Linked DNA regions of Saccharomyces cerevisiae S288C. The gene in region 2 interacts genetically with the main gene of each other region. Each region holds a gene or a part of one and is shown on either strand. Other genes may lie near its edges.

Region 1 (10,774 bases), on a different chromosome or scaffold from region 2:
CCATACCAACTACCACACCAGCAACTCCTACAATAAACGCAAATGTTGCTGCATAACCGTGCGTTAAAACCTCATAATCTTCCCATTTGTCCCAATTGTAACGATGTTTAGTCACCTTATGTTTTCTTTTTAACAAATGGATATTAGTAACTGCATCTTTCTCCACTTCTTTTGAAGATCCAACAAGTTCCGGTCCATTTATTTCTCCTGTAACTGTAGGAAACTCTTTGGTGTACAAATGTAAGAAAAACCTTCTGAATACTAAATTCTCTTCGAATAATAAGATAAAGTACATGCTAATCCAGTAGCCTATCATTGGTAGGAAATTTCCCAAAATAGTACTAAAATGATTACGACCTATTAATGCGCATACCAAACAAATTATAGTACAAACAATAGACCAGAACCAGCGAGGGATTTTTGCACAAAACACACTAGAAAGTTGGATGGAGAATGCTGCCGAATACGTATTGATGATGTTGTTGGATACCAAACTGAATACCAGTACTACCACGCAGAACTTTCCGAAGCCGTTCCAACGCTGAAAACCTGCCCAAAGTAGACCACCCATTCCATGGGAATCGTACTCGACTGACCAAGGCTTATACGACATGGCAACAGAAGCTAGTAAGAGACCTAAGATTCCGACGAAACAGGTAGGCAAAAATGTTCCAAAAAACGTTAGGCAAAAAATTTGAATATATGGTGTATCTTCTGGGAACAATATATAATAGTCTGCTGTAATAGACCCCCAAGTAGCCGTAATACTATAGCATAATGAAAAAAAACTCATCCAGTTGCCCTTTCGGGTGGAAGAGTCCAAATTTCCCTTTGAAACGTATGCATTGACGAAGCTGTATTTATCACTTGATGAAATGTACAGTAGTAAAAATGCTGTCAGGACGGGTACGGATAAGTAAGTTTCCACTTTAATGACTTGTTTGATACCGAAAATGGCAACTAAAAAGGAGCATACGGTCACTATGACAATCCCTACCCATAGGGGTACTTTATCATTAGAAATAGCAGCTAACATTTCACCCCCAACCACGGAATTAACCACAGACCAACCCATGACACCGATAATGGAAGCTAATGCAACTAATTTAACAAACCACCATCCGAACAGGTATCTAGCTGTTACCATCTGTCTGCAACCGGACTGCGGTCCCATGATCGAGCAATAGGCAGCAATTAAGCAACCAATTGTTACCGATATTAAACTGGAGGCTACGGATTCTCTAAAGCTTAAACCGAAAAGCAGAGGGCCTAATAAAAACGACGACATGGAAGACAAACCACCTGTGGCACTCAACCATAGCCCCGCGACATGCAAAAATTGTTTCTTTGATGTTCCTCGTTCATAGGGAGATATCCTCTGAATACCGGTAGACTCTACTCCCATTGCGTCCACTTTCTTAGAAAGCCATGCCGCCCTGTTGATAATTCTTCTCAAAATGGACGGACTTGAGTTGGCCTTTTCTGTGGCTATGTTTAAAGAAGAAGCTGCGGTTCCTTCTTCGTAAAATTCTATTACATCAGTAGTATGCTTTGTATGATCTTCTTTGCGCTTTGTTGTGTCCATGTTGTCCCTATTCATCTATGATCGAAGTTTTTCAAGTCCTGTTCTTTGATAAATACTCTATAAAGCTAATAATATTCAACAGTAATATTTTTATACTGAGAACCTCAACATCTGTTCTCTTTTTTAATGGCCTTCTCTTAGACACCATCAAAGCAGCCTGACGCAGAAAATTTCAGGTGAGATAAGGTGCGGCGAACAAATCCGAAATTTACTTACACGCAAGTACGAGTCATACACCTACGGGGCACTGTACTACAATCCATTGTCGAAACAAAAACGGCACTTAATGTTGACTTCTTTTTGAAGTCAAATGCATACGAAAACTCGCACTGCTCTTTTTTCTTGGTGTGTTGACGTATATGTATATATAGGTATGTTAACATAAGGTTCTTACGTCTCTTACTATCAAACTACACGGGAGAAATGCTCATCGCTTGCGGCTTCCCCAGACACTACCCGTAAGATTCTTGTCAATGCCAGTTCACAACTTTGCTCAAAAACATCCTTTGTCGCACTACCCAAATGCGGAGTAATTGAAGTAAGTCTATCAGAAGATCTGATTTTTTCATCTATTTCTGGTTCTTTATTAAAGACGTCTAAACCGAGATGGTTGATTCGTCCCGTTACCAAGGCGTCAGAAACAGCCCGCAAGTCCAAAATTTTACCTCTTCCCAAGTTGACTAAAATTAGGCCTGGATTGCAGTGTTCCAAAAATTTCCTGTTGATTAAATGTTCTGTTTGTGGAGTTCCCGGCAATGTGACCACGATTGCATGAAACTGGTATAGTTTTGCATATATTGTTTCATCTAGCAAATGAAATTTCCAGCTTTCGTTTTGACTCATTGTGCAATCTTCGCTTCTTTTGCAATAATGTATTTCCATTCCTAGCCCGTATTGCAACTTGTAGGCTACTTGCTTTCCAATACTTCCTAAACCAAGAATTAAGCATTTCTTTCCTCTTGGTGATTCAGCAAACATATTCCCCAGTTCATGGCCAAAAGCAAATCCGCTCTTTTCTGCAGCTTTCGCCCTTGCAGTTAATGTATTTCCAGTTTCTCTACTAAGTTTTTGGTAATAGGAGAACTTTCTAAAGCCCTCCAGAATGTGCCACAAGGCACAATCTGCCACATCATTACCGACTTGATGAAGCTTTAAATCGTCTATCAATTTTTCATTTTCATCGTCTTGGTAGTTGTATAATCGAATTTCATGCTTGCGTAATGTATCCAGATCCCATCCGTCGTAACCTCTTGAGCAAAGCACGATACATTTTAAATTTTTCCTTGGAAATGACTTGTGTTCGATGATACTTCGAGTCATCCCACCGATTTTTTTGAATGCCGGAAACCCAGCATAAATGGCACATATTTTGTCTTGTTCATGCCTTTCTAAAAAGTTAAGAAATGCTTCTTTGGTGTCCAGCTGATAGCGCAAGATCCTGAACTTCTCTTTGAATGCCTTGGAATTAAGTGTGGCTGATGTTTCGCACGGATCTGCGATGAAAAGAATAGTAGGCTTTCCAGTCGTTGCAGGAGAATCGCACATTTTTTGTATGCTCTTTTCCTTCTAAATCTGCTGTCAACCCATTGTCGAGTGAAGTTATAAAAGCACAGCTATTTCTATATTCCTTTTACGACCGCCATTACACACGTTCATTGAGGCAAACTTTCCTCCTTCGCGCGTGCGTTTCCCAAGGGTAGTAGTAAGAGCTTACGGAACAGCCCGAAAGGCTGTAAAAGTTTAATATACTTACTGTTCTTGAAATTCTGTCTATATACTTGACTATTTAAAGTTACTATCTTTGGATTTGAACCTTATAAAAAAAAAAAAAAAAGGTACATGCATATTTTCCCTTACAATTTCGAACTCTTAATATTCAATTCTGAGTCCTTTCTGATGAGATCTTGATTGTAAAATTCTTCGTAAATACTTAAAGGCTTATGCAGGTCATCGATGGTAGTGTTCACAGCTAGGTTCTTATTCAATTTGTTGAAAAGATATTTGCCATTTTCTCTTACTTCTATAATATCAGCGTCAACCATCGCCGCTAATAAATCTTTCTTCAAATCTACTATATTTTCGATACCGCAGCAAAGACGAACCAAATCTTCAGGAAAATCTCTCTCTTTCCTTAATTCGGGATCAATGGAAGCATGGGACATTTTGCAAGGCATAGATAGAAGCGAATTTACACACCCGAAAGATACCGTCACAGCCCATATACTCAGTTTTTTGGAACTGACCAGTCTCTTTGAATGTTCGAAGGACCCCGTTTCGAAGGATAACACGGCACCTGGGCCATTATTGAACGATTTATGCAGCTTGAAATCCGGGTTGGAGCGTAATCCAACAAATCTAGTTTTCGTAGCCTTGTTTGTTCTGGTAGGTTTGAATCCGCATGAATTTTCTAGCCAATGAGCCAATATCATAGCATTTCTCTGCTGTTGATATAATCTAACTCCTAGAGTTTTTAGGCCCCTCACAAGTAGCCAAGAATCCATTGGGGATAATCCAGCTCCTGTAGAATTAATGACAAAGTAAAGCTTCGAGGCTATTTCTGGTGTTTTGCTGATAATAACACCCCCCATCAAATCGTGATGACCATTCAAGTACTTGGTAGCAGATTCGTATACGACATCGCAGCCTGGATTCAGTTGAAGAGGATTACAATTGAGTCCACTCATCATAGTATTATCAACGACAACTGTAGTGTCGGGAGATATGCATTTCACAAAACGTAATATTCTAGGGATATCTACAACCTTGCAAAGCGGATTGGTCGGAGACTCTAGAAGAACACAATCAACTTTATCTAAAGACTGGAAAACGGTTTTGAACTTTTCAAAATCGGAAGTGTCCACATGAACAGAGACTGCATGACTCTGTTGCTTGAAAAAATTCAGCAGCCTTTGGGTGCCTCCATAAAGATCATCGCCGGCTATTATTGTTGGCGTATGGTTGTCAGTGCCGTTAAGTAAGACGAGCCCACGCAGGATGACGTCTAGCGCCGTCATACCACTGCTCACAGCTAATACGTTTTCCTGTGGGACACGATAAAGCTTACCAATCTGGTGTTGAAGGACACTTCTGGTCGGGTTTCCCGATCTGGAATAATCGTAGTTCTGTGCATCTTCATTATTCAAGTCCACTTTGAAGGTAGTCGACAAATACACCGGTGGCACGGAGGCTGAATGTTGGTCATTTTGAGAGCCGGTATTTACCACAACTGTATCTAATCTCTTGATCGGCATCTTTTTGCTTCTATGCTTTTGTTGTTTGCTTGATATTTTTTGTTTTTAATGAACTGTAAGCACACAGAGCTATGGGATGTGTGGCAATGACTGTATATATATGTATATATATATATATATATATATATATATTTATTTATTTATTTATTTAAAATATAGCTACGTATGCGCCAGTTGTTTTTATCAGCTTTGCTTCTGGCCACATTTCAACCAGGTCTCAGAGGATATATGGCCAGAAGGCCCCTTTACACACTTTTGAGATGCGATGAGTCTTCCAAGGTAGGAGCATATGCCTCCAACAGACTTCGGCCCGAAGCATGCTGTGCTCACGGGAATTATATTGTGTGAAGCACATGCCACACTTTCCAAAAAAGAGTCAGAATGAGTCAGCCGGATAACCAAACGCGGACTGTGGCGCCACGGAAAACAGTGTGGCAAATTTATGGGCGGCTAATCTGCAAGCTCTATGCCTGGAAATGTAGATGTAATAATCAAGACACTTTTGTTCTTTCGTGTATAGTGCATGAAGGTTAAACCTCCGTAAATTCCTTGAACTCTTCTGGAATTCCAAATTCTTTTCTTATCTGTTCTGGCTTCAAAAAGAATTTCTTGTATAAATAATCAATGAGAATCTCAATGTTATCAGTAGTTTTCTCCAGATGCACTTTTTTTAGGCGGATCTGTTGTTTATTCTCTTGTATTTTTGCTGCATCCCATCTAATGCTTTCTATTTTTTGGAGACTATTACTCTTTTTCTTAATTTCATCCTGAATTTTTTTTCTCTTTTCCAGTAGAGCCTCCCTATTGTATGATTTTTGGCCTACCGTAAATTTTTTACGCCTTCCAGTTGCTAGCGTTTTGTCTAGTTCTTGTTTATAAGTGGCAATATCACACTTTACTTCCTGTATCTTTTTTTTTATCAACTCGCTTGAATCATACAATTTTTGCAGTGTCTGATTTTTAAAGCACCAGTAGATGTTAATATTACCACATTTTTCCACCGAAATGACGCCGTCTTCATCAATCATTTGTTGCACTAAATCTTTAACGATCATGGGTGAGATTCCGCATTTTTTAGGTATGCTTTTCTCTAATTCCTTGATGTTGTAGAATGTGTACGTCTCTTGAAAAAAGTTCAGAATCCGGTTCTTTTTCTCTTGGAGTGATACTGTCTGTCTCTTTGGCCCCTAATAATAAGAAGAGGGTAGCACGCACCCGTCTATAAGTTAGTGTTCAGTCCTGTGTACCATGATGGTTTTATTAGACATACCATTGTTGAATGTTTATGATACTACACATAAAGTTTCCGCCGTTTAGTCTATATCGCAAAGAATAACGGTGGGACGGGAGATCGCCTTTTATATGCAATTTCGTGATCTGGGCGGTTATTTTACTTTTTTTCGACGCATAAAAAAGCAGGAAAGATGGTAAATTCGGTTCGTTATTCAAGATTTTTAGAGCCAGAAAGATATTTGAGCGTGCCTTCGTGAGAAGAGGCTTAGGTTGAGACGATGATGCTGAAATTATGGCAAGACACGAATTCTTCTTCAAGTTTCCCTTGTCATAATAAGAAGAGAAAAACATACCTTTATGTCGGTTGCAATTAAGAAGGTTGTATAGAGCATCTCAAATGCTGCTTTTACTTTATTAAACGTTGACCAAATAATACGGCGCTTTTGTTTCGACAACGACACACTATGATGCAAAGCGGATCCGGGTAATCGATAAATGGGGGCACCCGGAAATTATTGTAAGTTGAAGAAAGTTAGTGTTGATCTCTAAATGCTTCACAAAAGGGTGGAAGAAGAACATTTTCTCTTGATCAATCATTAATATAGATGGAGGCAGCGTTCTGTCAATCACAGATTATAGTTTATTTATACTTAGTCAAAAATGAGGTTTAGGAGTTCTTCCCATAGCTTAAAACATGTTGACAGAGAATTAAAGGAGTTGATTAATTCGTCCGAGAATGCCAATAAATGCGGTGAATGTGGTAATTTCTACCCAACTTGGTGCTCAGTTAATTTGGGGGTTTTCCTTTGTGGTAGGTGTGCCTCTGTTCATAGAAAAGTTTTCGGTAGCAGAGACGACGATGCCTTTTCTAACGTTAAATCACTATCAATGGATAGATGGACAAGAGAGGATATCGATGAATTAGTGAGTCTTGGAGGCAATAAGGGGAATGCTCGGTTCTGGAATCCTAAAAATGTCCCTTTTCCTTTTGATGGAGATGATGACAAAGCCATCGTGGAGCATTACATTAGAGACAAGTATATTTTGGGTAAATTCAGGTATGATGAAATAAAGCCTGAAGACTTTGGATCCAGAATGGATGATTTTGATGGGGAATCGGACAGGTTTGATGAAAGAAATAGAAGTAGGAGCAGGAGCAGATCTCATTCTTTCTATAAAGGGGGCCATAATAGGTCTGACTACGGCGGTTCCAGGGACTCATTCCAAAGCAGTGGAAGCAGATATTCTAGGCAACTGGCAGAACTCAAGGACATGGGTTTCGGTGATACAAACAAAAATTTAGATGCATTATCGTCCGCTCACGGAAATATCAATAGAGCAATCGATTATCTAGAAAAAAGTTCAAGTTCAAGAAATAGTGTATCGGCAGCAGCGACAACATCAACTCCGCCCCTGCCCAGGAGACGTGCGACAACAAGTGGCCCACAGCCAGCTATTTTTGATGGTACAAATGTAATCACGCCAGATTTTACTTCAAATTCAGCATCTTTTGTACAAGCAAAGCCAGCAGTTTTCGATGGTACCCTTCAACAGTATTACGATCCTGCTACCGGAATGATATATGTAGATCAGCAGCAATACGCCATGGCTATGCAACAGCAGCAACAGCAACAGCAACAGCTTGCTGTCGCACAGGCTCAGGCTCAGGCACAGGCACAGGCACAGGCTCAAGTTCAGGCTCAGGCTCAGGCTCAGGCCCAGGCTCAGGCTCAAGCACAGCAGATCCAGATGCAACAGCTTCAGATGCAGCAACAGCAACAGGCGCCATTATCTTTTCAGCAAATGTCGCAAGGAGGAAACCTGCCACAAGGTTATTTCTACACACAATAAAAATAAGATACATTGCCGCTGCTCCGCATTACATATCATATAGAGTGACACTAAGTAATTAAATGACACTAAGTAACGAAAGATATCTGTAAACAACGACTATATACCAGAATTAGTCATATTCTCTATTGTATTCACCCTACACAGCCGCATTACACAGCTGCTCCGGACGTTTTACGCTGCACATCAATGACTAATACCACTGTATTTGATCCACACTTAGCGCAAAAGTCACCTGGGTGGCGTTTTCCGCTCGCGCTCCGCCGGTGAGAGCGAGAAAAAAAAAAGGGATTGGGCGGTAATGTAAGGAAAACCCACTAGTTAAAATCAATGAGATAAGGAACTCTCTTTTTTTCCCGTTAATCATCTTTTCCTTGTTCGTTTCGTGTATCTGTAATGAATCTTATCGGAGTAACTATTACTGGAAAGCCATACCGTTAAAGAAGCAAGCATATCATTCGTATTCAAGCATCTGTTTTTCTTTTTAACCGCTCGGCTCTGATTTCTTAAACCATTTCCCCCATCAGCATCAGTTTGTGATTTGTAACTATATCGATCGTGGAATCGATGGAATTCTAAGCGTCATTTAGTTGGCAACAAAAGGAATCGAGCATCTCATAAAGGAGCTTATATTATTAATATCTTCCTGATCGTACTATTTTTTTTTAGCTTTTTATTTTTTAGGCCGAGGTTAATTCTAGAACGCCACATTTCATCACCTTTAAGTTAAGTACCAAGGCCATCTTTTACCCTTTTTAGTTTCTGGGGAAACAGAGAACAGTACTATAGAAGATAAAAAGATATAATACAATCGTAGTAATAGTACCCATAATAAAATAACATATAATATAATAAAAACATAAGGCAAAGGAGATAGGAGAATAATCATTGATATCTCCACAAAACGAATTTGAAGCTACCCCATATTTTCAAATCTCTTTTACAACACCAGACGAGAAATTAAGAAAATGGGAGACATTAAAAATAAAGATCACACAACCTCTGTGAACCATAATCTAATGGCAAGTGCAGGAAATTACACCGCTGAGAAAGAAATCGGAAAGGGTTCGTTTGCCACTGTATATAGAGGGCATCTGACATCCGACAAATCTCAGCATGTAGCCATAAAGGAAGTATCAAGGGCGAAATTAAAAAATAAGAAATTACTAGAGAATTTGGAAATAGAAATCGCTATCTTGAAGAAAATCAAGCATCCTCATATCGTCGGACTTATTGACTGTGAACGAACATCAACAGATTTTTATTTGATCATGGAGTACTGTGCTCTTGGGGACCTAACATTTCTGTTGAAAAGGCGTAAAGAATTGATGGAGAATCATCCTCTACTAAGGACCGTATTTGAAAAATACCCTCCACCGAGTGAGAACCATAACGGCCTGCATAGAGCGTTTGTCTTGAGTTATTTACAGCAGTTAGCGTCCGCTTTGAAATTTTTGAGGTCTAAAAACTTGGTTCATAGAGACATCAAGCCTCAAAACTTACTATTATCTACACCCCTAATTGGATATCATGATTCAAAAAGCTTCCATGAACTTGGATTTGTTGGGATCTACAACTTACCCATTTTAAAGATAGCAGATTTCGGGTTTGCAAGATTTTTGCCAAACACGTCATTAGCAGAAACTCTTTGTGGCTCACCATTATATATGGCACCAGAAATTTTGAATTATCAAAAATATAACGCTAAAGCAGATCTGTGGTCTGTCGGTACAGTGGTATTCGAAATGTGCTGTGGCACCCCACCGTTTAGAGCTTCCAATCATTTGGAGTTATTCAAGAAAATTAAAAGAGCAAACGATGTCATAACGTTTCCTTCATATTGCAATATTGAACCAGAGTTAAAAGAGTTGATATGTAGTTTATTGACATTTGATCCAGCCCAAAGAATAGGATTTGAGGAGTTTTTTGCTAACAAGGTAGTCAACGAAGACTTGTCTTCTTATGAATTGGAAGATGATTTACCTGAGTTAGAATCCAAATCAAAAGGTATTGTAGAAAGTAATATGTTCGTTTCTGAGTATTTATCTAAACAGCCAAAGAGTCCGAACAGTAATCTTGCAGGTCATCAATCAATGGCAGATAATCCCGCGGAGCTCAGTGATGCCCTCAAGAACAGCAATATATTAACTGCCCCAGCCGTTAAAACAGACCATACACAAGCCGTAGATAAAAAGGCTTCAAATAATAAATACCATAATAGCCTAGTTTCAGATAGAAGCTTTGAAAGAGAATATGTGGTGGTAGAGAAGAAATCGGTTGAAGTTAATTCATTGGCAGACGAGGTTGCTCAAGCAGGATTCAATCCAAATCCTATTAAGCACCCAACTTCAACTCAAAATCAGAACGTCTTATTGAATGAGCAATTCTCTCCAAACAATCAACAGTATTTTCAAAATCAAGGAGAAAATCCGAGGTTACTGAGGGCCACATCATCTTCCAGTGGAGGTAGTGATGGGTCTAGGCGACCATCTTTGGTGGATAGACGCTTGTCTATATCCTCGCTGAATCCATCTAATGCATTATCAAGAGCCCTCGGTATTGCATCAACGAGATTGTTTGGTGGTGCAAATCAACAGCAGCAACAGCAACAAATCACATCTTCCCCACCGTACAGTCAAACTTTGTTGAATTCCCAACTTTTTCATGAACTTACTGAGAATATAATATTAAGAATAGATCACCTACAGCATCCAGAGACACTGAAATTAGATAATACTAATATCGTTAGTATTTTGGAATCTCTGGCCGCAAAGGCATTTGTTGTTTACTCTTATGCAGAAGTGAAATTTTCTCAAATTGTTCCATTATCAACAACATTAAAAGGCATGGCTAA
Region 2 (10,187 bases):
CCAAAAAGTCTACTTTTACCCCTCTGGAAACACCTTGGTACCTCAGGATTGTTGACAATGAAAAGGAACTAATGGAAGGTAAGAAAAATAACCACCACACGATGAACAAAGAATTGGAGATACCTAAAACCTCTCCAAACTCATTAAGAAAAATAGCAGACCTCCTAACTGGTAAACTTGGTCTGGATGACTTCCTGGTTTTCGATTTACGGAAGAAAAGCCCAAACTCTGTTTCAGCCGTTAATAAGTTGGGTGACTTCATGGTCATATGTACAGCAAGATCTACCAAACATTGTCATAAAAGTTTCTTAGAGTTGAACAAGTTTTTGAAGCACGAATTCTGTAGTAGTGCATACGTTGAAGGAAACTTTAATGAGCGACAAGAAAGTAGAAGAAAAAGAAGATTAGCAAGAAAATCCAACCTTAGTAAACTATTAGGTAGAAGCTCTGAATGCTCTGCAAAAGACTTAAATAGTGAGGCTTGGTATATGATTGATTGTCGTGTCGATGGTATTTTTGTAAATATTTTGACACAGAGAAGGCGTAATGAATTGAATTTAGAAGAGCTGTATGCACCTGAAAATGAGAAATCTAAGTTCCAAAATATAGATTCAGGTAATGTCCCTACTATTTCAGGGGTAAATGAAATTTCAAGCAACAATAATATTCTTTTAGGCCTAAGAAGACTGGCCCAGCAAAGGAGAAGGTATTCAACTATCAACCCAAACGGGCTAAGTAATTTAAGATACTTTCTACAAAAGGAAGACTTCAAAGGAGCCAATAAGATAATTCAGAGTAGTAGTGGTACTGAAACTCACAATATACGTACTTTGGAGCATGTTAAAAATACTTTAAAGGATTTGGTAGGACAAGAGAGGAAAGTAGATGTTGTTCAATGGAAGTCCTTATTTGACGAACATTCAACTTTTTTAACCATAAATCAATCGGCTGCATATTGGCCACTACGACTAGAATATGCGATACTTCTAAACAAAGCAGACCCACAATTTTATTCAGATCGTGTTTTCCTCAAGGATTATCTACTTTTAAAAAAATCGTTGGGGCAAGAGTTAATAAGGGAAGATCTAATCGCTCTTTTAGAAATGGTTTTGAAAACGCAGCATTCTAGTCATTCATACTTTAACCTAGTAAAGCAAAATAGGGTGATTATCAGAGCTTTGAACCTATTTAAAGGTCTACAAACAGAGGACGATGGCTCAGTTGTTTACGATGAAGTGGTAATATCCCTTCTTTTAAATTCCATGGTCGCGGATGAACGGGTAAAATTGAGATCACTCTACGAGACAATAGACCACATTTTCCAAACATTTGGAGATAAGTTGACTTCAGGCATGATTGTCTCAATATTGCAAAACTTGGCCAAAATCAAAGACTGGAATAAGCTACTTCAAGTCTGGGAAGCTATCACACCAACGGAAGGGGAAGGTCAGGACAAAAGGCCCTGGAATGAATTTATAAATGTTATCAATCAAAGCGGTGATAGTCACGTTATATCGAAAATCGTAAATAATGGTCATTTGCTATGGATCAGACGTTTAAATGTTAACGTAACTCCGGAGTTATGCAACTCCATTAAAGCGTTATTAAAAACCGCTGGAATGGAGAATTCCACATTGGAAGAATTCCTAGTCCGTGGAACAAACAATCAATAGTATTACCTGTATATAATATCTTAATCTCTCGTCGTTCGCCTTATTTATATTTGAATCAAATATTTAATTCTGCCACATGGTAGGTTCATTTTGCCGCAGATCAAAGAACACGGACCATCATGTCAAAAGTACACAATTTTTGTCTTTTCGAAACAATTTGGTTTAGTTATTAGGAGAAGAAAGAACGAATGATAATGCTCATTACTCAGACCTGAATGCAAAAAAGCCAAATCAAATACAGAAATGCACATAAATGTGAGAGGAACTAGGAAAATAATTTCCAACGTTTCATCCTTCACACCAAGATATGAATTTCCAAAGTACAGTATGCCTCTCACTGATTTCAAGGGACACCAAGTCAAAGCTCTTAAAACATTTGAAAAGTTGCTTCCTCAAATGAATATGATAATAGAACTACGTGATATACGTGCCCCGTTATCTACAAGGAATGTGGTTTTCGATCGAATAGCAAGAAAGGAACACGATGTGATGAAATTAGTGGTATACACTAGAAAGGATCTTATGCCCGGCAATAAGCCATATATAGGAAAGTTAAAGAATTGGCATGAAGAGCTGGGAGAAAAGTTTATTTTACTGGATTGCCGAAACAAAACTGACGTCAGGAATCTACTAAAAATACTAGAATGGCAAAATTACGAACTAGAAACAAATGGCGGATATCTACCTATGGGATACCGAGCATTGATTACTGGCATGCCAAATGTTGGAAAATCTACTTTAATAAATAGCTTGAGGACAATTTTTCACAATCAAGTGAATATGGGAAGAAAATTTAAGAAAGTAGCCAAAACTGGTGCAGAAGCTGGTGTTACTAGAGCCACAAGCGAGGTTATTAGAGTAACTTCACGGAATACGGAATCAAGAAATGAAATATACTTGATAGATACTCCAGGAATCGGTGTTCCCGGTCGCGTTTCAGATCATAATAGAATGCTAGGACTGGCGTTGTGTGGTAGTGTTAAAAATAACCTTGTAGATCCAATATTTCAAGCGGATTACCTTTTATACCTAATGAACTTGCAAAATTTGAACGATGGAAGAACAGAGCTTTACCCTGGAAGCACCAATTCTCCCACAAATGATATATATGATGTTTTAAGAAGGCTTCAAGTGAATAAAAGCCAAAATGAAAAATCAACGGCTATCGAGTGGACTAACAAATGGAGGTTGCATGGAAAGGGTATCATATTTGACCCTGAGGTACTGTTGAATAATGACGAGTTTTCTTATAAAAACTATGTAAATGATCAATTGGAAAAGTTAGGAGATCTTTCGTATGAGGGATTGTCTAACAAACTAAAAGGGAACCCCAATCAAGTATTCTAGTAAATAATATCCAGCATACATAAGCTTATCTAATAATTAGATCATTTTACAATGTGTACCGAGTAATACAAAGTTGAGGGGGGAAAAAGTGTTATAATGCTCAAAATACCTGTTCAAAGAAATCACCACCCAATTTCGGAAAGTCTTACTCCATTGGAAGCATGACTAATAGATTCGATTGATACACCACCCATTAACTCTCCTAAGTCACTAGATACTTCCAACAATTTGCTGGGATTGTCAAAGTGAGTGGTAGCCTCTACTACTGCAGTGGCCAACCTTACAGGATTAGATGATTTAAAAATTCCTGAGCCAACAAACACACCATCACAACCCAACTGCATTAACAATGCGGCATCGGCTGGCGTTGCTACACCACCTGCAGCAAAATTTACTACTGGCAACTTACCTTTTTCTAAAACATCTTTCAGCAAAGAAACTGGTACCCTCATTTCCTCAGCAACTTTTGCAATGTCATCTTCGCTCTTCAATTGTTGGCACGCCTTTATCTCCTCTGTAATTCTCCTTATATGCTTGACGGCTTCAGAGACATCGCCCGTTCCAGCTTCACCCTTGGTACGAATCATAGCGGCGCCTTCATTAATTCTTCTCAAAGCTTCACCTAAGTCTTTAGCGCCACAAACAAATGGAACTTTGAATTTGTCCTTTTCAATGTGGTGAGTCCAATCAGCAGGAGTCAAGACTTCACTTTCGTCAATATAGTCAACTTCCAATGCCTCAATAATTTGAGCTTCAACAAAATGGCCAATCCTTACCTTAGCCATGACGGGAATGGAAACGGAGTTCATGATGTCCTTAATCATCTTCGGATCTGACATGCGGCAAACCTTTCCTGACTTACGCATATCTGCTGGGATGGATTCTAATGCCATTACCGCACATGCACCAGATTTTTCAGCTATTTTTGCCTGCTCTGGAGTAACAACATCCATAATAACGCCACCTTTTAACATTTGGGCGAGACCACTCTTGATCTTAAAGTCTTCTCCAGTCATCGTGATAATTAACTGAATATTAGTACTGTGTATATTTGCTAGTCGTTCCTAAAGGTTTCTCCAACAATACCATAGACTTCGTCCATAGCTCTCAGCGTCCTCCTATTTATATCGAAAATGGTACTTCGCAGCCAGAATTACAGACGTAACTAACGGTGCGGCAGAGTGTGTCAGAGTCATGAAGAAATGGCGGCGCTACCTGAAAAGTAGTGAAAAAGCCCGGCTTTCAACCCTTACCCTTGTCGGCTGAGTCATTATGTCATGATGAGCTATTCCAACTAGTGCCATAAATTCCAACTGAGTCAGTAAACGGCATTTATCAGCAATAACTGGTCACGAACTCTTTGAATGTTTTATTCTTTCTTCCAAAAATCACGTTGATGCCACCAGGTTTTTTTTTCTTATTATTTCATTTCGTTAAATAGAAAGAAAAACCATATCTTAAAGTATGCACAAAACCCACAGTACAATGTCCGGAAAGTCGATGAAAGTAATTGGGGTTTTGGCGTTGCAAGGTGCCTTTTTGGAGCATACCAACCATTTAAAAAGGTGTTTGGCTGAAAACGACTACGGAATAAAGATAGAAATCAAAACTGTAAAAACTCCTGAGGATCTAGCCCAGTGCGACGCCTTAATTATTCCCGGAGGAGAATCTACGTCGATGTCCCTCATCGCTCAAAGAACAGGCTTATATCCTTGTTTATACGAATTTGTTCATAATCCGGAAAAGGTAGTTTGGGGTACTTGTGCTGGTCTCATCTTTTTAAGCGCGCAATTAGAAAACGAAAGTGCCCTAGTAAAGACTTTAGGTGTGTTGAAGGTCGACGTGAGAAGAAACGCATTTGGAAGACAAGCTCAATCTTTTACACAAAAGTGTGATTTTTCCAATTTCATACCTGGCTGTGATAATTTTCCTGCTACATTTATTCGCGCACCCGTGATCGAGAGAATTCTTGATCCTATCGCGGTTAAAAGTTTATATGAATTGCCAGTGAATGGAAAGGATGTGGTTGTAGCTGCAACGCAAAATCATAATATCCTTGTGACTTCTTTTCATCCAGAGCTTGCTGACAGTGATACAAGATTTCATGATTGGTTTATCAGACAGTTTGTTTCTAATTAAAATACCGCCGGTTTTCCACATTTTTATATTACCAAAACCTGAGAGATTTTTTCACATCGATAAATCTCTACTCGTTTACTATCGAACAATGCTCTAGGTACGATGATATTGTTAAAAACTTCAGATACATTTTGTAGCTTGATATGGTTCAAAGTCCGAAAAGATAGCCAAACTATTGCTTGACATCGAAGGTATGTTATTTGATTAATTTCACTTTTGTCAAGCTCTTTTATTCTTGTGTGTCGTAAATTAAAAAATTTTGTGAATTTACTATCATCTTCCTTTATGTACAACGATTTAAAAGTTCTCTTATCGACTTTTAGTTCCTTTAGTATATTTTCCTCGATGTTCCACCACTTGATTTTACTTACACGTTTCATTGTCAGAGATTTAAAATTTTTGGGAAAGACAATGCTATTCAGGTCGATGTAAGCTACTCTACTTAATACAAGCTTTTGCAAGTTGTCCCATCTTGTAAAGTCAGCTAGTCCGGTTCTGGAAATTTGATTCATGCGTGATAGGCGTATTTCATTTATCCTACGTTTCACTATGTAACTAATCGTTTTACCAGGATTGTCTCTGAACCCATGAAAATTTATTAGCAACTCATATAATTTCTCTCCTCTCACAGTGATCTTCCGCAGGCTCTTCATGGATTCCATACTTCTTATTGTTCTTATAACAGAAATACTTGTTAGTTGGTTGTGCGTTGCTCCCACATTGCCATTATCTGAATGTGATCTTTTGGATGCTGACCTTTTCTTGTTTTTAATTGTGGAGCTAGGTGAGGAGTTTTCGTCAGAATTAGCTCCACTAACATCAACATCTTTCTCTTCTCCTACTTCTTCATCTTGTCCAAATTGTACCTCCCCGATTGTTGCGAATAAATCTTTCTGTTCTAAAATTGATAAGCATTTGTCTACTAGTTGTGGAGTTAGATTATCAATGTTGAATTGAATATTACTTACATTAAGTAAGTCAAGCTCGTCAAAAGCAACACTGTCTATCACCCACTTCTTGTACTCTTTAAAAGTATACCAAACTTCTAACATACTGGCCTTATTGAAGTAGGCCAGTCGAAGTTCATTATCAAGGTACGTCCATTCTAATGCATCTATAAGCGTTCCGTCATAAAGATGGTTTACTTTGAAACAGTCCAAAACCAGGCAATCATAGCGCAACCAAAATGCATACTCAAGCCATTTTTCAATGAGTTGCGGAGAGTATTCGAAAATGTTCAAATACGTGGCAAAAACAGGATACATGTATCTCAATAATTTCTTAGATCTCTTAGACCTTTTATAACTTGGTTTTCCTGGAAGCTCCACATCATTAGATTTGTATAATATATCTATTGGGTAGGGATGTGCTCCGCAAAAATTACCATCTAAATGGAAGTAAACTTCTTTTCTAATGTCAATTGGTAACTCTAAGAATCTAACAGGATTGAAAGAAGGCATCAAGCGACATGGACTTCTGGGGACTCACAGTCAGCTTTCTGTTGATAGCATCTCATCTCACAATGTTTTGTTTTCAAGCCCTCGAAGGTAGTTAAACGCGAAAACGTATCAAAATGCAAAGCACTCTAAAATGAAATTTATACAGGTTCCTTTTTTCAATAAAAAGAGAAGATATTATTTTTTTCGATTACAATGAGAAAGAGATATATATGTATGCCTGAATATCTATAAAATAGATACAAATTAAAATCTATATGCTAATATTTCCTTAACTCGTTAAAAGTTGAAGCATACCTTCAATTCTTTGAGCTTCTTTAGACTTATGAATTTCATGTCTAACTTTAGTTTTCAAATCTATCATCAATTCTTGAAGAACTGGAGAGCTTTCTAACGTATTCCCATATAATTCTAAAACCACGGCGACCCAATCCGCTACAATAGATGCTGATCTCACATCTTCAATACCTTTTAAGCACCAATTCAGTAGCGGCTCTAATGTAGATTCATCTCTACCATATAGCGCTACACGAACTTTGCCACGTTTGCGTAGTTCTTGAAGAACAGTAAGTGTCAACTCTTTGGCCATACCTGGTACAAAGGCATTGTCGAGTGCTTCGCTCCATTTAAACTGATTTATGTTCCTTTCGAATGCACGCATACGACGTTGAGATCTTACCTTATCATTGTGGATTATATGCTCTTGATCACCTTGGTATTCCGAGCCTCGCATCATTCTCTGGAAGTTATTACTTTTCGCATTCTTATTAAAACTGGCGGGTGCGTTTTCTTTATCGGAAGAACGTTTCTCTTTCTTTTTAGTTCTAATGGCTAGTAGTCCTGATGATAAACCTGCTACTAAATGCCTATTCCCTTGTGCGGTACTAGGGGAGACAGCACAACTTAGTACGGGACCCGAAAATTTCCAGCCAAATTTGACTTGGAAATTGTCTAAAGGATCAAAGACTTTGACATGACCATCTAAGGAAGAAGCGATCAACGCCGATTGCATTGGAGAATCAAAATTTTCAACATAGTCCAAGCATGTCACAGCCTTATTGAAATTGCCACGTTCGTATAATTTCTTGTTACTGGTCAAGTCCCACACTTTGAAATTATTGCCACCGCAAGAAACAATTTGGGTTGGAGATACTGCAATAACATTTTCAACAGGTTGGTCATGATTCAGAGAATAAATTGGCGTGGATCCGCTAGATCTTGTGTCATATAATCTGATCAAACCGTCGTATGAGCCTGTTGCAACCAAATGTGGGGCTGCTGGGATAAATGATAAGGTACGAACATAGTCAGTAGCTCCGGTGAGCTCTAATTGTGGCTCATATGCGTTGGATATATCCCAAAGTCTTGTCACTCTATCGTCACTCGCCGTAGCCAGAATTTTGTTATCTTGCGTATGGAATTTCGTAACATGTGTGGGATGTGTGGAAGCGTTTATAGATAAAAGGATAGTCCTGGGATTATAACTGTCGTATACAGACACTAAACCGGTAGCATCACCGGCACAAAGCAATTTACCATCACTCCTAAAGGATGCAGAATAGACAACATCTTTAAATCTTGAAAAGGTCTTGATCACTTGCCTAGTTCTTGAAGAAAATATTTGAACTCTGGTTGAGGAAGTTACTGCAAAATCATGAGGATGTTGAGGATTGAATGATATGTGAGTAACGCTATTATGTTCTTTAACCAGTTGTGCGGAAGTGTATTGACGCCAGTAACGCTGCTCCGGGGTAGTCTGTTGAGGCAATAATGGAGCCTTCGAAGTGATTATTCTAGGCCTAGCAGTCGACATTTTATTTCTATATTATGATCCTTAGGCCTGTTCTTAGCAAAAACTGTTTCAAGGGACTTCTATTAGTGATGGGCATCGTTTTTTCTTCAAAGCTCGAAAGTTTTCAAAATTTTTCAGTTATTCCAAAAATTTTCAAAAGATAATTATCACTAATTACGAGGTATGTAGGTCACAGAACGTTAAATATTATGCTTACTTGGGGTGAATGACTAGAAACTGGAGGTGTATCAATACTAGCTATTGCTTTCCGTTCATAATCAGAACTGAACGCTACCAAGACGTTCTGAAACGTTTTTATTGGTCTCTAGTGTCCCGTTCGTTTGTTTTCGAAACAATGAATTGTATATGATGTACGGATGTTTTCACCCTGTAACCTGCCACCTTTTCTACCGAAGGCATATATGTCAGATCTTTGATTAATGATCATTATTTAATTATAAGGGGAAGCAACTCAGCACTATTCTGCCTTTTGCAACTCGCAAATACAGTTTTTAAGGTATATTAACGGGCAAAAGTAGCAAAGTAAACAAAAATAATGTCATCTATCTCTTTGAAGGAAATTATACCACCTCAGCCTTCGACACAGCGTAACTTTACTACGCATTTATCGTATGACCCTACAACCAACGCAATTGCTTACCCATGTGGAAAATCTGCATTTGTACGTTGTTTGGACGATGGAGACAGTAAAGTACCTCCAGTAGTACAATTTACTGGTCATGGCTCTTCGGTAGTCACAACGGTAAAGTTCTCTCCAATTAAGGGTTCCCAGTACCTATGCTCCGGTGACGAATCTGGAAAAGTGATTGTTTGGGGATGGACATTTGACAAAGAAAGCAATTCTGTTGAAGTGAATGTTAAGTCTGAATTCCAAGTTTTAGCAGGTCCAATCAGCGATATCTCCTGGGATTTTGAAGGGCGAAGACTCTGCGTTGTGGGAGAAGGTCGTGATAACTTTGGTGTTTTCATATCCTGGGATTCTGGTAATTCCTTAGGTGAAGTTTCAGGTCACTCACAACGCATCAATGCTTGTCATTTGAAGCAATCTAGACCTATGAGATCTATGACAGTTGGAGATGATGGATCTGTTGTCTTTTATCAAGGACCTCCATTTAAGTTCTCTGCCAGTGACAGAACACACCACAAACAAGGCTCATTTGTCAGGGATGTTGAATTTTCACCTGACAGCGGTGAATTTGTTATTACGGTAGGGTCTGACAGAAAGATTTCTTGCTTTGATGGCAAATCAGGTGAGTTTCTTAAATACATAGAGGATGATCAAGAACCAGTTCAAGGTGGTATATTTGCACTATCGTGGCTTGATTCCCAAAAGTTTGCTACCGTAGGAGCAGACGCTACCATTAGGGTTTGGGACGTCACGACTTCAAAATGCGTTCAAAAATGGACCTTAGACAAGCAACAACTGGGAAATCAACAAGTTGGTGTTGTTGCAACAGGAAACGGAAGGATTATTTCTCTTTCACTGGATGGGACCTTAAACTTCTATGAACTTGGACATGACGAGGTTTTAAAAACCATTAGTGGTCATAACAAGGGTATTACTGCTTTGACAGTCAACCCACTAATCAGTGGGTCATATGATGGTAGGATTATGGAATGGTCTAGCTCTTCCATGCACCAAGATCACTCCAACTTGATTGTATCATTGGATAATAGTAAAGCGCAAGAATACTCCAGTATTTCTTGGGATGATACTTTGAAAGTGAACGGTATTACTAAGCATGAATTTGGATCGCA
Region 3 (10,774 bases), on a different chromosome or scaffold from region 2:
AACAGCAAAAAACTGGTAATTATTGATACCGGTTCCGGCGTAAACATTACCAATGACAAAACCTTACTGCATAATTACGAAGACAGTAATCGCAGTACACGATTTTTTGGTATTGGGAAAAACAGTTCAGTGTCTGTTAAAGGGTATGGCTATATAAAAATCAAGAATGGTCACAACAATACTGACAATAAGTGTTTATTGACTTACTATGTACCGGAAGAAGAATCCACTATAATCAGCTGTTATGACTTAGCCAAGAAAACCAAAATGGTTTTAAGTCGAAAATATACCAGATTGGGAAACAAAATCATAAAAATTAAAACCAAGATAGTTAATGGTGTCATTCACGTAAAAATGAACGAGTTAATTGAACGTCCTTCCGATGATTCAAAAATAAATGCAATAAAACCTACTTCTTCTCCTGGATTTAAACTAAATAAAAGGTCTATTACCTTGGAAGATGCTCATAAAAGAATGGGCCATACAGGAATTCAACAAATTGAAAATTCCATAAAACATAATCATTATGAAGAATCCCTTGACTTAATCAAAGAACCAAATGAATTTTGGTGTCAAACCTGTAAAATCTCTAAAGCCACGAAAAGAAATCATTATACCGGGTCTATGAATAATCATAGTACTGATCATGAACCAGGATCATCATGGTGCATGGATATATTTGGCCCTGTATCAAGTTCAAACGCGGACACTAAAAGGTACATGCTTATTATGGTGGATAACAACACGAGATATTGCATGACCTCCACACACTTCAATAAGAATGCTGAAACTATTTTAGCTCAAATCAGAAAGAATATTCAGTACGTGGAAACACAATTTGACAGGAAAGTCAGAGAAATTAATTCAGACAGAGGTACTGAATTCACAAATGATCAGATAGAAGAATATTTTATTTCAAAAGGAATACATCACATACTTACTTCTACACAAGATCATGCTGCTAATGGAAGAGCAGAAAGATACATCAGAACAATAGTAACTGATGCAACAACACTCCTAAGACAAAGTAACTTAAGAGTAAAATTTTGGGAATACGCAGTAACTTCTGCTACCAATATAAGAAATTGCCTGGAACACAAAAGTACAGGTAAACTACCATTGAAGGCAATCTCACGTCAACCTGTTACAGTGAGATTAATGTCATTCTTACCATTTGGCGAAAAAGGAATAATTTGGAATCATAATCACAAAAAATTGAAACCATCTGGACTTCCTTCTATAATTCTATGCAAAGATCCAAATAGTTATGGATACAAATTCTTTATACCATCCAAAAATAAAATTGTCACATCTGATAATTATACAATTCCCAACTATACGATGGACGGTAGAGTAAGAAATACTCAGAATATTTACAAGAGTCATCAATTCAGTTCACATAATGATAATGAAGAAGATCAAATCGAAACGGTCACAAACTTATGTGAAGCTTTGGAAAACTACGAAGATGATAATAAACCAATTACTCGCCTGGAAGATTTGTTCACAGAGGAAGAGTTATCTCAAATAGACTCAAACGCAAAATACCCATCTCCTAGTAATAACCTAGAAGGGGACTTGGATTACGTATTTTCTGATGTTGAGGAATCTGGAGATTATGACGTTGAATCTGAACTTTCAACGACAAATACTTCAATCTCAACTGATAAAAACAAAATTTTGTCAAACAAGGATTTTAATTCAGAACTTGCATCGACTGAAATATCCATCAGTGAAATCGATAAGAAAGGATTAATAAATACAAGTCATATTGATGAAGATAAGTATGATGAAAAAGTCCACAGAATTCCATCGATTATACAAGAGAAACTGGTAGGAAGTAAAAATACTATTAAAATCAATGACGAAAACAGAATCTCCGACAGAATTCGTAGTAAAAATATTGGGAGTATCTTAAACACTGGACTCAGTAGATGTGTAGATATCACCGATGAATCTATTACTAACAAAGATGAGTCAATGCACAACGCAAAACCCGAACTAATTCAGGAGCAGTTCAATAAAACAAATCATGAAACTTCGTTTCCTAAAGAAGGGAGCATTGGAACAAAATGTAAAATTCCGAAATACAGACAATGAGATTTCTTTAAAAACAGGCGATACGAGTTTACCAATAAAAACTTTAGAAAGCATTAACAATCACCATAGTAATGATTATTCCACAAACAAAGTTGAAAAGTTTGAGAAGGAAAATCATCATCCGCCCCCGATTGAGGACATTGTGGATATGAGTGATCAAACTGATATGGAATCAAACTGTCAGGATGGTAATAACTTAAAAGAATTAAAAGTCACCGATAAAAATGTACCAACTGACAATGGAACAAATGTGTCACCAAGGTTGGAACAAAATATTGAAGCATCTGGATCACCAGTACAAACAGTTAATAAAAGTGCCTTCTTAAACAAAGAATTCAGTTCTTTGAACATGAAAAGAAAACGGAAAAGACACGATAAAAACAATAGTCTAACAAGCTATGAATTAGAAAGAGATAAGAAGCGTTCAAAAAGGAATCGAGTGAAATTAATTCCAGATAATATGGAAACAGTTTCAGCACAAAAAATTAGAGCCATATATTATAATGAAGCTATTTCAAAAAATCCTGACCTCAAAGAAAAACATGAATACAAACAGGCATATCATAAAGAATTACAGAATTTAAAAGATATGAAGGTATTTGATGTCGATGTGAAGTACAGTAGATCAGAAATCCCTGATAATTTAATAGTACCCACCAACACGATATTCACAAAGAAAAGAAATGGGATTTATAAGGCTAGGATAGTCTGCAGAGGTGATACTCAGTCACCAGACACTTACAGTGTAATAACTACAGAATCTTTAAATCACAATCATATTAAGATATTCTTAATGATTGCAAACAACAGAAATATGTTTATGAAGACCCTGGATATCAATCATGCATTCCTATATGCTAAATTGGAAGAAGAAATATACATCCCACATCCGCATGATAGGAGATGTGTAGTCAAGCTAAATAAGGCGTTATATGGTCTAAAACAGAGTCCTAAAGAATGGAATGATCATCTAAGACAATACTTGAATGGAATTGGACTGAAAGATAACTCTTATACTCCGGGATTATACCAAACCGAGGATAAAAATCTAATGATTGCAGTCTATGTTGATGACTGCGTAATTGCGGCAAGCAATGAACAGAGATTGGATGAATTCATAAACAAATTGAAAAGTAATTTTGAACTGAAAATTACAGGAACATTAATAGATGATGTACTCGATACAGATATATTAGGAATGGATCTAGTATACAACAAAAGACTTGGTACTATCGATTTAACATTAAAATCATTCATAAATAGAATGGATAAAAAATACAACGAGGAATTGAAAAAGATTAGAAAAAGTTCAATTCCGCATATGTCAACTTATAAAATAGATCCTAAGAAAGACGTACTGCAAATGTCAGAAGAAGAGTTTAGACAAGGTGTTCTAAAGCTACAACAATTACTAGGTGAACTAAACTATGTCAGACACAAATGCAGATACGACATTAATTTTGCTGTTAAGAAAGTGGCTAGACTAGTAAATTACCCACATGAAAGAGTCTTTTATATGATTTACAAAATAATCCAGTACTTGGTTCGGTATAAAGATATTGGAATACACTATGACCGAGACTGTAATAAAGACAAGAAGGTTATTGCTATAACTGATGCATCAGTTGGATCAGAATATGATGCTCAATCAAGGATTGGAGTTATATTATGGTACGGTATGAATATTTTTAATGTTTATTCTAACAAGAGCACAAACAGATGTGTATCATCAACAGAAGCAGAGCTTCATGCCATTTATGAAGGCTATGCAGACTCAGAAACGTTGAAGGTAACATTAAAGGAGCTAGGAGAAGGAGACAATAATGACATTGTCATGATCACTGACTCAAAGCCAGCCATTCAAGGATTAAATCGCAGCTATCAACAACCAAAAGAGAAATTCACTTGGATAAAAACTGAAATAATAAAAGAAAAAATTAAAGAGAAGAGTATAAAACTGTTAAAAATTACCGGCAAAGGTAATATTGCTGATTTACTAACAAAACCAGTATCAGCATCTGATTTTAAAAGATTTATACAAGTATTAAAAAATAAAATAACATCACAGGATATTTTGGCCTCAACAGACTATTGATAATTAATTAATGAAGTTCTAAACACACAATGAATATCTGTTGAAGTACAATAATATATCTTTAAGGGAGCATGTTGGAACGAGAGTAATTAATAGTGACATGAGTTGCTATGGTAACAATCTAATGCTTACATCGTATATTAATGTACAACTCGTATACGTTTAAGTGTGATTGCGCCTATTGCAGAAGGAATGTTAAACGAGAAGCTCAGACAATACTGAAGCTGTGTTAAAGACCTATTAGTTGAACATGATATGGTAGGTACATATATGAGGAATATGAGTCGTCACATCAATGTATAGTAACTACCGGAACCACTATTATATTGGTCATGATTAATATGACCAATCGGCGTGTGTTTTATATACCTCTCTTATTTAGTATAAGAAGATCAGTACTCACTTCTTCATTAATACTAATTTTTTACCTCTAATTATCAACATTGATAATAAATTTGCTCATGTCATGGCCCACAAGTTTTTATCCCACAATGAAACATTTTATTATAGCTAAATACGTCATTCTAAACTTAAGAAACCATCTCTATGTGTGAAACGCATGAATTATATAAAATAACTACTGAAATATCTTTGTTACTGATGAGAAATAGATGAATCGTAGATAACTGTGAGGATTCCGTTGTTGTTAAAGACTATAATATCAGGTATACAGAAAATGTTAGAAGTTCTCTTCGAGAATATAGAAATCGACAAAAGGGGTCGGCAGTTTTACATAAATAATTTATGGAATAAATTCAACTATCGTCTATCAACTAGTAGTCATACTACCAGTATATTATCACATACAGTGTAAGAAGATAACATAAGGGATGAGAAACTGTCATCGAAGTTCGAGTAAGTTGAAATTCAACGATTAATGCAACGATTGATAATATAGCAGGATAATGAAACATATAAAACGGAAGGAGGAATAATAGTAATATTATTTGTAGAAAAATCGATTCCCCTTTGAAAATTTCTATATCCTCGAGGAGAACTTCTAGTATATTCTATATACCTAATATTATTGCCTTTATCAACAATTAAATCTCAACAATTATCTCAAAATTCATCAATTTCTCAATGATATCATTTTTTCTTCCTTCTTTTTATACTTTGTGATTCATTATCCTATTATATAATCAATCCTTTCATTTCACTTTCATTAAACTTGATGACTGTTTCTCAATCCTTATCTCATCTTCTTACACCGTATATGATAATATACTGCTAATATTTCTAGTAGTCAGCATGATATTTGATTTTCACCAATCAACCACAAGTCCTGACAGGAAGTTATTATTTAACCACATTACTGTTGCGTGGATAAGTGTTATTATTCTATTGCCTTAAAACTATACAACAAAAGCTCGTATGGCGCAGTGGTAGCGCAGCAGATTGCAAATCTGTTGGTCCTTAGTTCGATCCTGAGTGCGAGCTTTCTTTTTTTCCAAAGAATTTTAATTATATACGTTCGCCTGTACGGCTTTTTATATACTTAAAAAAGTGAAAGTTGTTCTTATTCATTTGAATGCGTATTAAAAAGATTGATTGACTCTTCGTGATAACTATTTCTTCAACAGTTCGTGAACGGAATCTGTTTTTATTTTACTCAATAATGTCATACGTTGTAATTTATGCAAATGTCTGATTCCCTTCGCATAGAGCCAAACAGTAGATATTAACCCCAAAATGGTGACAGTTAAATACGCATAATTACTTTCTTCTATGAAACTTTCCAGATTCATACCATAGATAGAACCCAGGAATAGAGCGCCTCCCAACGAAAGCATTCCTATGGCGTATCTTATCCCTAACAGCATTAATTCGTTTCTGTTAGAATCTAGGATTATATTGATGATTTCTTCTGTGGTTTTCACGTCAGATATGGCGCTTTCGCTTTTCTGAACTATTTCATCGACATAGTTATGATATGTTTCCAGAAGCATTTCAATTTCAGTATGATCATCTTGAACTCTAATTTTTCCAGCCTTTTTGTCGGTTAAGTACATATCACAAAGCATATCGTCTTGCTCTAGCAAGTCATCCAGCATATCTTTAACTAGAACAGCCTTTTTATTGAAGCTGCTCAATTTTTTGTTTTGACCCAGTAAGAACCTTAATTTATCTCTTGTTATACTAAATTCTAGATCTTGAAGCACCCCCTTGCATATGGTTAGCAACACCTTCATTTCACTGGTAAGGTTAGATAATGCCGAAATGAAGATCGTTTCTAAAGCTCTGAATTCATAAGGAAGTGGATCGCTATTTAGCTCGCTTGTTTCTTGATTTTTTAGTCTCAATTTCATATCGTTAATAAAATCCTTGTGAGCTTCTGAGTTTAAAGTTATTCCACTGCCGGCTGAATCGAAGATAATAACCATATCAGGCTTAATTAGGGCTTTCACAGTAAGTAAACTGATTAGTATGGAATTTTCTCGCACGAGCAAACTAGGGACTAAGTCATTCTTCCTTGATTTTTCAATTTTACGTAGATCTCTGGGCAACAAGCCATGTTTTGATACTAGATCCTCACGTTTTATCTCTACTAATGGTGATTTGGCTCGTCCAGTTGAGTCTAGCAAAGTACATCGTATTGTCCCTGATCCATACCCATAGAGCATGTTGTTTCTTTGGATCAAGTTTTTCTGTAGTAGCATTGCAGCGGTATTGTCAGGGTCCACCTTAGGCATTTGCCTAGAGAAATCAAAAGAAGAAAGTGATGAACCAAAAAGCCTTACTGTTCGAAGAAGGATGTTATTATATGATCTCTGATGGCGAAATGGCAGTACTCGGGGGAATGCTCTCATGTGTACCTTTTGATTGGAATTGGTTCGCAGTGTTTATGTTATATTAGCTCAATGTGCTCCCTGTATTTTATATATGAAACAAGTCTTTGTATTGCTATTTTTTTCAAACCTTTTTCTCAACTCTAAAAGCGGTCCACGTTAGTTTTCTTTGGATATAGCAGTTGTTGTACACTAGCTTAAGATGTAAAATTCAATTCAATATGATTTTGTGTGGGATGTTTTAAAGAAGGCACAAGCCTGTTCTCTCTTTTTCTCTTTTTTCATGGATTGTATCGCTTAAAAGGGAGAAATGAAGTAAACGATTCTTTTTGTAAAAATATAAAACCAAATTTTTTAATTTATATGTATACATATTTATTTATGACGTAAGACCAAGTAAGTTTATATGAAAGTATTTTGTGTATATGACGGAAAGAAATGCAGGTTGGTACATTACAACTTAATTCTGACAGCTTTTACTTCAGTGTATGCATGGTAGACTTCTTCACCCATTTCTCTACCGTAACCAGATTGCTTAACACCACCGAATGGAACTCTGGAGTCAAAATCGTTGTATGTGTTGATCCAGACGGTACCGGCCTTCAACATCTTGGCCACCTTCAAACCTGTGCTCAAAGATTCTGTTTCGATACCAGAACCTAGACCGAATTCAGAGCTGTTAGCCATTTCGACACCTTCTTCTAAAGTCTTGAACTTTGCGACAGTGACAACTGGTCCAAAAATTTCTTCCTTAACAATTCTCATGTCTTCATTAACATCGTAGAAAACGGTTGGTCTGATGAAGTAACCCTTGTCACCAACTTTTTCGCCACCAGTTAAGATCTTGGCGCCTTCTTTCTTACCGATATCGATGTAGTTCATAATTGTGTCGAATTGTTGACGGTTAGTGATAGCACCTTGGAAGTTAGCCTTGTCAAATGGATTACCAACTTTGATTTCGGTTTCCAAGTAAGCCTTGAAAGCAGCCAATAGTTCGTCGTAAATACCTTCTTGAACGTAAATTCTAGAACCAGAGGAACAAATTTGACCAGCGTTCTTGAAAATACCGTTTACTAGATTTGGTAAAGTCTTCTTAATGTTAGCATCGTCAAAGACCAAATGGGCGGACTTACCACCTAGTTCCAAAGTGATTTTCTTCAAGTTAGATTCAGAAGAGTCGACAGCAACACTCTTACCGACTTCTGTAGAACCGGTAAAAGCCAGCTTTCTGATTCTTGGGTCGTTGGTCAAAGCAGCACCAACAGTTCTACCAGGACCTGGAACGATGTTGACGACACCAGCTGGAATACCAACCTTCTTACATAAAGAAGCAAAGTATAGGGCATTTAAAGGTGTGACAGCAGCGGGTTTCAAGATACAGACGTTACCCATGGCCAATGCTGGGGCGATCTTCCAAGCCAACATCATTATTGGAAAGTTCCATGGAATAATTTGACCACAGACACCGATTGGCTCTAAGGTGGTGAAGTTCATGTAGCCGTCACCGGTGTTGATTGTTCTACCGTTGACTTTGTCGGCATAGGCAGCAGCATCTCTTAGACAGTTGATTGCAATGGTAACATCCCCACGGGCTAAGGCCAAAGTTTTACCATTGTCCAAAGCTTCAATGGAAGAAACCAAGTCAATTTGGCTTTCCAATTCGTCAGCCAACTTACTTAGTAGACGGCCTCTTTCTCTTGGGTCTTGGGTAGCCCATTCAGTGTCGTGGAAAGCACGGTCGGCACATTCGATAGCATATTCAACATCTTCAGTGGTGGCAGAAGAGACCTCACAAACGGTGTTTTCAGTGGAAGGATCTTCGACGGGATAGGTCTTACCGTCTTGAGCTTTCATAAACTTGTTGTTAATGAATAGACCGGTTGGTTGCTCGTATGTCAAACCATTTGGAAGTGTGATCTTGACTGGTTCAGCAGTGTCAAAGTGTAGCTTAGTCATTGTATTCTGATAGTATGTGTTTGTGTATGTTAAAGATGTTTCTTGATGTTTTTTCTTCTATAAAACAAGAGAAGTAAAAGACTGAACACTTCGAATTGAATATTACCAAACTTCTTATTACATTTATATATGATATCAAGAACTTGTTAAACACGCCAGGCTTGACCTCGAACGGTGTTTTGATGTGTTACTCAACCGTTAAATCGCTGTTTGAGCTGACTAACAAGGTTGCTTGTCTTGAATCCCCCTCACCCCGAATTTATTACGAATTTGCCCACATGGTCGGTGCTATATCGCATTCGTTGCACTCACCGTTCCCAAGAGGAGATCAATGTTACATACGTTCCCGATGCCCAAAACGGTAAAGTTAAAGCGATATAGAAGCTGGATGCATATCTTTTTACACGTCCGCGGCGCGCCCACCCTCTTTTTTCTTTCTGGTTCCTTTTCGGTCGTTTTTCTTTTGTCGGCTGCCTTATTCCCGTGGGGATGAGGCGAGCGCCGTTTCGGCTTGGATACGCCATATGCAACAATGACGTCTCGGTGCTGGCCATGCCCCTCATTTATGTCGAAAAACAGGCCACTGCCCCTCTTTTCTGCGGCCCGGGCAAGAGGAGACCTCATCAGCCACGGCGACGTGCTGGTTGCTTCTACAATGGTATCTTCACCTTTTACATAATCCAATTCTATCATGCCCTTACGTGAGGGGCAGTGTCGTATGTGACGGCAGTTCCTGACCTGATAGTGTGTCTATTTGTCTGTTAGCGTCCGCGGAAAGTTGTGAGTACGGTTTTTAGTTTAGTTTCCACCCGGGATTATACTTTTGGCTACCCTGACTGGAAGGCGGCGGCCTTATATTCGAATGAACATGCCAGGCATTGTACGAATTGAAACTTTTTTCGTATGACGTTACGAATAATTCCATTCGGCCTAAATATTCTTTTTTTTTGGATTTTTATGCTAGTGAAGGAATATGAGATATGCAAAGCGCATCAGATCATTAGGTGTGTCTACATCGTTAAAATTTAACATAGAAAAAATAAATAGGCGTGTTTGTACGTAGTATGGTGATGTTAGGAGGTGCAGTGGTAGTAAGTTAGCAATATACATAAGTTTTATTCACATGACAGTAACAAAATGAGGGTGTGGGGAGTGTACAGGTACATTTACATACACACATAGATACGTAGATACATGAGAAGAGGGTTTACATGAAAATTATTTGGATTCAGCAATCTTCTTCTTTTTCTTTTCCTCTTCAAATAAGGCGTCTACCTCCTTCTGCTTCTCCAATTGTATTTTCATTTGTTCTTCTGGCGAAGGCAAGTTACCTTCAACATAGTCTTTCAGCGTAAATGTTTGCCCGCCCATTTGCTCCTGCTGTATTCTAATTTTTTCCTTTTCTTCCTCAATCATCTTCATGAACATTAAATAGTTCTTTTGTCCTTCTTCATGAATCAAATCGAGCGGGAACTTGGTGCTGCCGCCCAGGGAATTTCCGAGACCTAGTGCCGTCATTGCCCAGTTGCCACCAGATTTATGATCTCCGTAAAATTTATCCTTCAATTTTTTCACACGATGATCAAATTCTTCTGCTAGGTTCTTCTTGTCTTCAAAGCTGTTCAAGATTGGTCTAACATCCTTGGTTTGTTGAGTGGCAAGGTACTCCAAAAATGGAATCAATCTTACTAATTTGTCATCAGCTTCACCATTCCATGGCTCCATTGGAATAGCATTTTCAGGTTGCAATTTGTAACTGTTAGGGTCAGTGTCAATAATGATTACTTTACTCAAATCTCTATTCAATTTTGACAGATCCTTAATGTGCACACCG

Evidence for each region.
Region 1: mutations in SNZ1 (region 2) and TPN1 are lethal when combined (synthetic lethality), as found in Saccharomyces cerevisiae (2 studies listed by BioGRID, with this or other methods).
Region 3: mutations in SNZ1 (region 2) and ALD6 together harm fitness more than expected from each alone (negative genetic interaction), as found in Saccharomyces cerevisiae (2 studies listed by BioGRID).

What each region holds. Positions count from the first base shown.
Region 1 is NC_001139.9:151,177-161,950, forward strand, and holds the start of TPN1 (Tpn1p), read right to left. Parts: upstream 1,601-10,774; coding exon 1-1,600. Other genes in the region: YGL185C (putative hydroxyacid dehydrogenase), read right to left, coding at 1,991-3,130; cystathionine beta-lyase STR3, read right to left, coding at 3,439-4,836; MND1 (Mnd1p), read right to left, coding at 5,367-6,023, 6,107-6,109; GTS1 (Gts1p), read left to right, coding at 6,730-7,920; serine/threonine protein kinase ATG1, read left to right, coding at 8,889-10,774. UniProt on the Saccharomyces cerevisiae protein: Thiamine-regulated, high affinity import carrier of pyridoxine, pyridoxal and pyridoxamine.
Region 2 is NC_001145.3:452,257-462,443, reverse strand, and holds SNZ1 (pyridoxine biosynthesis protein SNZ1), read right to left. Parts: upstream 4,037-10,187; coding exon 3,143-4,036; downstream 1-3,142. Other genes in the region: ATP25 (Atp25p), read left to right, coding at 1-1,673; putative GTPase MTG1, read left to right, coding at 1,917-3,020; SNO1 (putative pyridoxal 5'-phosphate synthase), read left to right, coding at 4,485-5,159; CTF13 (Ctf13p), read right to left, coding at 5,183-6,619; snoRNA-binding rRNA-processing protein UTP15, read right to left, coding at 6,888-8,429; AIP1 (Aip1p), read left to right, coding at 8,965-10,187. UniProt on the Saccharomyces cerevisiae protein: Catalyzes the formation of pyridoxal 5'-phosphate from ribose 5-phosphate (RBP), glyceraldehyde 3-phosphate (G3P) and ammonia. The ammonia is provided by a SNO isoform.
Region 3 is NC_001148.4:430,754-441,527, reverse strand, and holds ALD6 (aldehyde dehydrogenase (NADP(+)) ALD6), read right to left. Parts: upstream 8,941-10,774; coding exon 7,438-8,940; downstream 1-7,437. Other genes in the region: MFM1 (Mfm1p), read right to left, coding at 5,764-7,005; YPL062W (uncharacterized protein), read right to left, coding at 9,229-9,633; protein translocase subunit TIM50, read right to left, coding at 10,159-10,774.